Callithrix jacchus: one gene and its partner. The protein of the gene in region 2 purifies or fractionates together with the protein of the main gene of each other region. This does not show direct contact. Links are inferred from orthologs where the notes say so. Each region holds a gene or a part of one and is shown on either strand. Other genes may lie near its edges. The genes, in order: TENT5C and FNDC3A.

What was found.
Region 1: the proteins of FNDC3A (region 2) and TENT5C purify together in Homo sapiens (affinity purification with western blotting; 3 studies listed by BioGRID, with this or other methods). This does not show direct contact. The link is inferred for Callithrix jacchus from reciprocal best matches to the Homo sapiens genes FNDC3A and TENT5C.

Annotation. Positions count from the first base shown.
Region 1 is NC_133508.1:155,644,369-155,648,661, forward strand, and holds the start of TENT5C (terminal nucleotidyltransferase 5C), read left to right. Parts: upstream 1-1,223; 5' UTR 1,224-1,256; coding exon 1,257-1,352; intron 1,353-4,293. UniProt on the Homo sapiens protein: Catalyzes the transfer of one adenosine molecule from an ATP to an mRNA poly(A) tail bearing a 3'-OH terminal group and enhances mRNA stability and gene expression.
Region 2 is NC_133502.1:66,785,033-66,788,668, forward strand, and holds the end of FNDC3A (fibronectin type-III domain-containing protein 3A), read right to left. Parts: intron 3,040-3,636; coding exon 2,725-3,039; 3' UTR 509-2,724; downstream 1-508. UniProt on the Homo sapiens protein: Mediates spermatid-Sertoli adhesion during spermatogenesis.

The DNA of each region.
Region 1 (4,293 bases), on a different chromosome or scaffold from region 2:
TTTCCAATCTGTCATTGATGGGCATTTGGGTTGGTTCCAAGTCTTTGTTATTGTGAACAGCGCCACTGGGTGTGGTGATCCCAGCTACTCAGGAGGCTGAGGCAGGGGAGTTGCTTGAGCCCAGGGGATCAAGGCTGCAGTGAGCCGTGATCTCACCACTGCACTCCAGCCTTGGCAATAGGGTGAGACTTTGTCTCAAAAAGAATGAAATTCATTTAAATAAGCCTATTTAATCTGCCATATCAAATTTTATCATATCAATATATAATCAGTAGAATTAATATAAAATATATAATCAATATAAAAAAATCTAAATGAGGTCGTTTACATTCCTTTTATCATATTGCGCCCTTGGTATCCAGGATGTGTTTTGCACTGGCAGCGGTGCCTACGTATTGGGAAGCACAGCTCTAGCAAAAGTGTTTCACTCTCAAATTCTCATTCTTCAAGTGTGGGAGGCAAGAGTTAACAACCCAGAGTTACAGAAGGAGAATATGAAGCGGGATATAAGCTCTACAGCGGTAGGGATCTTTGTCTCTTCCTTCCCAGTGTATCACAAGCTCCTGGAGCAGTGCTTAAAACACGGGCATGCACATTTTTGAAAGAGTGATAGGAAAGTCCGTTTCGGCTAACTCACTGACAGTCATTCACCCTCTGCGTCAGACCTGACGCGAAAACGTGGTGTTTGATTCCTAGCCCAGTGCTCATTCTTTTGTTTCCTTATGGTTTCTTAGAGAATAATAATAAGGCAATAGAATTTCAAGGAACTGCTGATAAAATCTTCTGAGACTGGCAGGGGACCAGGACTCAGTTTATCAGCAATTAAATTTTATTAGCAATTAAAATTTGAGTGAAATTGCAAGAGGAAGTCACTTTGAAGTCAAAGGTGTTTGAGCTGTCTAGTGACAGCACATTAATTACTTGATAAATGCTGAACATGGGGAGGAGGTCTGGAACCTGCAACTTGAACGGTAACTCCTCAAGGAAGGACCCATACGGAACGGAAACCGGGACGGAGCTGTGCACGTAGTTAGCACCTGCTCTGAAGTGGAGGTCTGCTCACACTTAGACACTTGTGAATGGGGTGTGTTTATGTGTCTAATGTATGATAAGGGTGGCATTTGAGGAACTAACAGTTGCTTGTCCCTTTCCTGATAAGACCCAGGCAGGGAAACTGCTAGTGATTAGAGAGGACTTTTAGCTGACTGAGACCTTCCTTTTGGACAACTGTTTAAAGCTCTAGGCTGGAGAGTTAGATGGTGAAGTCGCCTGTGGAAGCAGCGTTTGATGAAACCCAGAGGCTGTCGGCTCTTAAAGCTTGCGGATCGTGTGTAAACGGAGTCATTCTTACAGTAAGCAGTCTCCTCCTTGGAATCATTCTGATTTTTCTCAGTCTACGCAATCTCTAAATGAGAAAGGCAGATTCTCTTCGGGGAGCTCTTTAAATGAATTCAGACCGGCAACACCTCTGATTTAGAAAGAAGCATTTGTTGGTGGGGTGGTGGTTACCAAGTAGCAGCAGGGATTATTTCCATTTCAAGTTATATGTGTAGCAGTTAATGCTGACACTTTGGAAAAAAATCAAGGCTTTTATGCCCAGCTTTCATCTGAAGAAGTCTGTGTCCTGACCTTAATATTTCCATTTAGCACGTCACAGTATTCCTTTCAACACTGGACCCTGTGTGGCGTCCCTGTTGTCCTGTCTGGGCCACTGTTTTGATTCTGTTTGCTGTTTTGCAGCCACAGCATTGGTTCCTGCAGCCTTATCTCACCACCCACACTTGCCTCAGCATCCTATTTTCAAAGGTGGGAAAGAGCTTTCTGTTTGCGGTTGTCGTTGTGTGGGTGTCTGTGGACGGAGCCCAGTGACAACCATTCAGACTCTGTTGGCTTCTCGCTTCTCAGTGCTAAGTGGGCATTTATGGAGGCCCCTTAGACCCTAACAGCCGAGATCGCAGCCTGGTTCTGTGGCCTGCCTGGGTTTCAGTCCAGGGCTGCTTTCCACAGCTCGTGCTGCGTCCCAGTTGCTGTGGGAATCGAACCAAATTTTTTGACTCTAGTAAACATCACTGGTAAGTGGCTGGTGGATGATGATAACCTTGAGAAAACAGAGCGAGACTCTGGCTGAACGCGATGGAGCTGAGAGTGAGCAAAGACCGACTGTGGGGTTCAGGGTGTCACTGACTTAGACGTGTTTTCTCTGGGCACAGCTCTGTGGTCTGGGGCAGTCACTTCTCTGAACTCAGGTAGAATGTGATGTGGGCATTTAAGTGGGCAACTGTGAAAGTAACATCTTGGAAAAATAGTGAGCATAGGATATATTTTATTGGCCTTTTAAAAAGTAAAGCATTATTTTATCTGGTGTTATTGCTTCAGGCCATTCATAATCTAAGCTCCTATTCCATGTACGTGAAACACTCGAGTGGCTGCTATCTGTAACCTTTATGTGTTTGGGGCTGTGGCGGAGTCTCCAGAATGTGCCCCCCTCTCCAATTGGGGGGTCTGGCCCTAGGAAGGAGCTGGCAGACAAAAGACTTCTTCAGGCTGTCCCCAAACCCTTCCTTAGATAACTTGTGGCCCTCATCCTCCCTAGGAATTCAGGGAGTAAGAAAGGCTTTTTTTTTTTTTTTTTTTTTTTTTTCAGAAGACCATATTCATGTTGAGCCTAGTTTTTCTCCTTTCTGGACATGCCAAGCAAAATGACCAATGTCTATGGTCATTCACAGCAGCTGGCTCTTTTCTTAAGGTTGAAAGAATCTCCAGGGTCAAACAACACGCAGGTGGGAGAAGTGACAGGTGTCCCGTCTGAGGCTCCGCATTCGTGAGGTCCTGTGTCGCCTCCAGACCCTCTGCTTTCAGTTTTGTTCCAGCTCTCCTTTCTGGGCTAGCCCTTTAAGTCCTGGTCACTCCCTGCAAATTTATCAACCATTTCTCTGTGGCTGCAGTTGGGTCACTGGCTTCTTTGATCTCAGAAGGTTGCGAGTGTCCTGTTCTGTTGCTTCGTCAGCCTATCAACACTCTGATCTCCCAGCCATCAGAGCGAGTCTCAGTAATGGTTCCTTTAGTCCATGAGCAGAAAAAACAGCATGCCTTAGTTTTCCGGATCGGGACAGTCCATTCCTAACAATCTCCTTGGGCCATTAACTTTTCCTCTCACTACTAGTTCAGCACCTTCCACTCTTGGGTTCTCTCGCTCTCCTGGTCTTAGATTCTGGGAAACCACTGCCCTGCAACTTAGCCAGCGTCTCGGAGCTCCCTGGAAAGTTAGGACCCTAGGCCTTCATCTCCTAGCCGTTGCTCCTTTAAAAGAAATATTAGCATAATGGTTAGCATGTCTACACTTAATCATATTCAGTTCTGCTGGCTCCAGCTCCAGCTCCAGCTCCAGCTCGCAGTTTCTGTGCTGACAGTTGTTAGATACTTCAGTTCTAAATCCTTCTCCCTCGTTCTCAGCGTTTGCCATCTGGCCTTACCTCACTCAGGTGGCCTTAGCATGTCTAGCCAAAATTCTTTCCTGCCATCTTATTTTTTTTAAAATTGTTATGCCTTCCTTCCTTTTCTTTCTAGTTAATTGCCATCTCCTTCTGGTGACCACCTAAGCTAACCAGCTCTTCTTCAGGCTCCCGCCCCACCAAAGGTGTCCACCTTTTAGGAAGACTCTTGAATTCCGTGTCTGCTACTCACCAGAAGTGCATCCTTGGACAGTTTACAATTTTCACACACTCTTTGCTCTCCAGTTTCCCCATGGGGGGTTGGGGGGAATGGTATCTCTTTGATAGGGTTGTTACAGGAATCAAATGATTGACCCAGATACAGCCTTGAAAACACTGTTTTGCTCTTACTTGTGATGTTGTAAAATAGTTTGGGGGCTCATTAGGGTACTGGCTAAACCTCTGGTCACATTTGGTGTCTCCTGGCCATGGCCTTGGCTGCTACTATGTGAAGAGCCCTTGGAGGGCGCCGCATGTGTTAATACCTGCCAGGGAAAGGGTGTGGGCAGAACTAGACATTCATGTTATCAGTTGATGTGCACCTGCACTGAGAAGTGGGATTTCCCACACACTGTGGCAATCCATTATCTTCCTTGGTGTCTCTCTGCGGGGCTCCTCTAAGCCACCTGACACCTTTTGCTTAACTGGAATTGAATAAAGGCTGACTCCAGCTTTCTGTTATCTACGATATATATGGTGGGGACAGGGGGCGATGGAAAAGATGAGGTCTCACGATTGCATAGTGAACAGAAGGTTGCTTCGTCCCTTTTTGGGAGGACAATTAACATCTATTTAGAAAAGA
Region 2 (3,636 bases):
CCTGACAGTGTTCTTAAAACTGGTTATCCTTTAATAGGACTCATATGATTGTCCTCAACCTAGACCCTGAGTTTGAAGCTGTGTACTTATTTCTTGATTTAAAAAAAAGTTGGCTTTTTTAAACATTGAGTTCTTCTTCCATATTGGCTTCTGCAGTAAATTTTTCAATGATCTTTTTTTTATTGCAGTAAAATATGTGTAACATCAAATTTGCTAGCTTACCTATTAAAAAAAAAAAAAAAAAAAAAAAGGCAGAGTCCCTGTCCTGAGGAGGAAGTCCTTGGGATGGAAATTTTCATGAGCTGCATAAAAATCAAGTCACTAGGATAAAACTTCTAATTTCATTCTTTTCTGGACTTAATATAATAAATATGCATCCTCTCATGTTGAAGATTTGTATACTGTTGGGGAAAATGCTTTAAGCTCACTGAAAGAGGGGGGACTGTAACATTTCATTTTCTTAAACAGGCAGTAAATAATGAATGTATATGAATACAATAAACATATCTCAAAAAAGAATGATACAACTTTTATTTTCCATGGATTTTAAAGATGCTTTTACTACACAGTTTATGTATTTTTATGAGATTTTTTTTCATTTGTATGAAGTTCAGCCTTACACAATTTTAAGGTGATATGTTTGGTAGTGTATCTATAATCTTTAAAAAGTTTGGAGTTTTTGGAATGTACAGTATATGAGGTAAAATCAAGATTACATTAAAAATTGTTTTCTCCTCTGCACTAATTTTGCAGTGAGGCTCAAATGGCAAGTATACTATTAAATGACATTTACTATCAAAAATAGGAAGTTCATTTGAATTACTATGAAAAACATAAGCCACTGTAACTTGACACAGTGGCACATTTTACCGTTTTAGACATTCAACTATATATAAATCTCTGGGCTATTATACTCAGACTCATTTGTACTGCCAAATGTGGCAATTTAAAGAAGTTTCTAGAAAACAATCGCAATCACTGATGTTTTGGGGGAAGGTTATCACCCTATACATAAGAGATTAAATTTAAATAAAATGTAAACATACAGAATATTATAGTGACAGGTCATTCTTACCACTTAGAAAGGCCAAGTTTATCCATTTCTTTTTTGAACAAGGGTTAATGTTTTTCTACAGCACAGATCATTTGACATAAAACAGTTACAATACATGCCCATTCTATTATAAAAGAAATTCTTCAGAGATCTTCAAATCACAAAACATACGTTCTTTTTTCAAGGACTGACAGAAGTGCTTAATAATCACTAAAATGCCAACTTCAGCAACTAAAAATTAGTGATTCACTATCCTAAAATTCAAATAATAAATTAAAAAAGCTAGTTACACAGGTGTTTTACAGATAACAGATGTGCTAAAACAAAGAATTGTAGATAGTTGCATTATAAACTGTATTATTACTGGCAGTCATGGACATCTAGGCAAGATGTACAATGTGACACTTGACAAAATTCAGTCTGATCATCCAAAAGCTCACAAATGCAAGCTCACAAAACATTAATGAATTATGCAATTGCAAAGTGCTCTAATGCAACATTAACCACATGCAACCAACAATTTGGAACAGTATCCAAACAGACATTATACATTAAACGTTAGTTTTCAAGAAAGAAAGCAGCTTGAAGTTTACTGGTGCAAATGAATGTTGTCTTCAGATTTGGTGCCCCAAACAAAAAGGTTAGGTTTGATTATGAATTCTGATGGTGGTGGCAGCAGTTATGGGAGAAGCAGCAAAAACTTATGGGAGTTCTTCAAAATTAGCCTATACCAGACGAAGTGAGTGTATGTGTGTAATATGAATCTCTATACTTGGTATGTGTGTGTGTGTGTGTATATATATATATGTGCCATATATGCACGTGTATACCCTTATACATGTACATATAGTGCAATGGTTCACAAAACAGAGCCAGATAGGTTTGAAATTCAGTTTACTTTTACGATTACTTTTAAAAAAGTATTTAAAAGCCCTCGGTTCTTTTCCATGTTCTCAAGACCTGAAGAGGAACTTTCTGAGTAAACATCAAAATATTTTTAGGCCAAGTAAACTGTCTGTGCTTTCTTTAAGTACTTATCTGTGAATTCTGAATATATATTTATAATGAAGAACTCCACATTTATCAAAGCTTTTCTTCATGCATACTCTTTCACCCAGTTTTTGTTTCTAAGCCCCTCCAGCTACTCATCATAATCCCACTTACCAAATAATTAAGACAAATGAGGAGGTAGAAATATAGCACTAGATTGCTTTCACAGCATCAGACTTTAACATTTTATATAGGATGTTAGTGTAAATTCTATTCATTCTGAATTTTTCACTTGGTAATAATCTTTAAAACAAACAGATCAGGTTATCACTGTTACACTCATGCCGATTGGTCAAAATATCCATTCCTAAATTGTTGCCTCTTAGAAAGTTTTTCTATAGAAGGCATGTTAAAAAAAAAAAAAGAGAGAGACAGAAAGGAAAAAAGAAAAGGAAAAGACCCACCCTAACAAAAAAACAAAAATTGATATTTTTGTGGCTTGCATTCTAATAAAGTGCCAGCCTCTACCTAACAATATAAGCACTGAAAATGGCAAAAATGATGTGCTATAGTCTCAATGCCAGTGCTAAATGCCACTGTTTTTTATAAAAGCAATACAGAAATAATTTTAGTACATGACAAAATAAAATGTAATAGAGTTAAAAAATAAAGTTATATTTTCACTTGATTACAAAGTACTGAATGATAAAGGCAATCAAAATGGAAAAGAAAGCAAACAGCACAAGGATGACAGCAGCACACTGCTCGTCACTCAGTGCCCGTCGGGTCCTTGTGCTTTCCACAGTGTCTCTGTTGGTGCTGGCTGGTGGTTCAGTCCTCTGAGAGATGAAGAGCACTGTGGTGCTGTAGGGACCTACAAGGTCCTGGTGTCCCAGAGAGTCTTGGCACTGGCGAATGGCACATACACGGAAACGATATTCACAGTTCAGCTGAAGGCTGGAATACCGGAAGTAAGGGTCGGGACCTTTGTAAATCTGTTAATAAAATATTAGAAGGAAGAATTATGTGTGAAGAAGGCTGGACAGAAAATGTGTTAAAACTGGCTAGTGTTAGAATTGTTTTTGATGTGAAAGCCGGTGAATGTCACTGATTTTATCTTTCAAATGACATATTAAAAATACCTATCCATTAAAGTACTTAACCGTCTGTTGCATAGGGGCAGGAGAAATCTGAAAAGTGAGGACGTGAGATCGACCTTTATAGGATTCACAGCTGAGTTAAGGAGTGCACATGTGCCCGAGGGCAGCTAGAGAACAAGCAAAATCAGTCCTTAAGCATTTTCCTGTTTTCCTCAAATGTAAGAAATCATTTTTAAATGAAATCATTCCATCAAAAAGGGATAGTGTCTACTTTTGCTTCCCCCATTATGTCTTTGTATAACTGATAATTTTCCATACAATTTCAAACATATCTGTTGAATAAAATGGCAAATGAGTAAGGCGAGCTTTCTATAGGTGCCTATGGAAAATCACTGTATAAACTCCAGAGAGGGGAGATCACTTAGAATCAGAGAATAGGACCTCCTATGCCATGCCTTACAAGGGGAATAAAAAGAATGAAATTCCACGGAT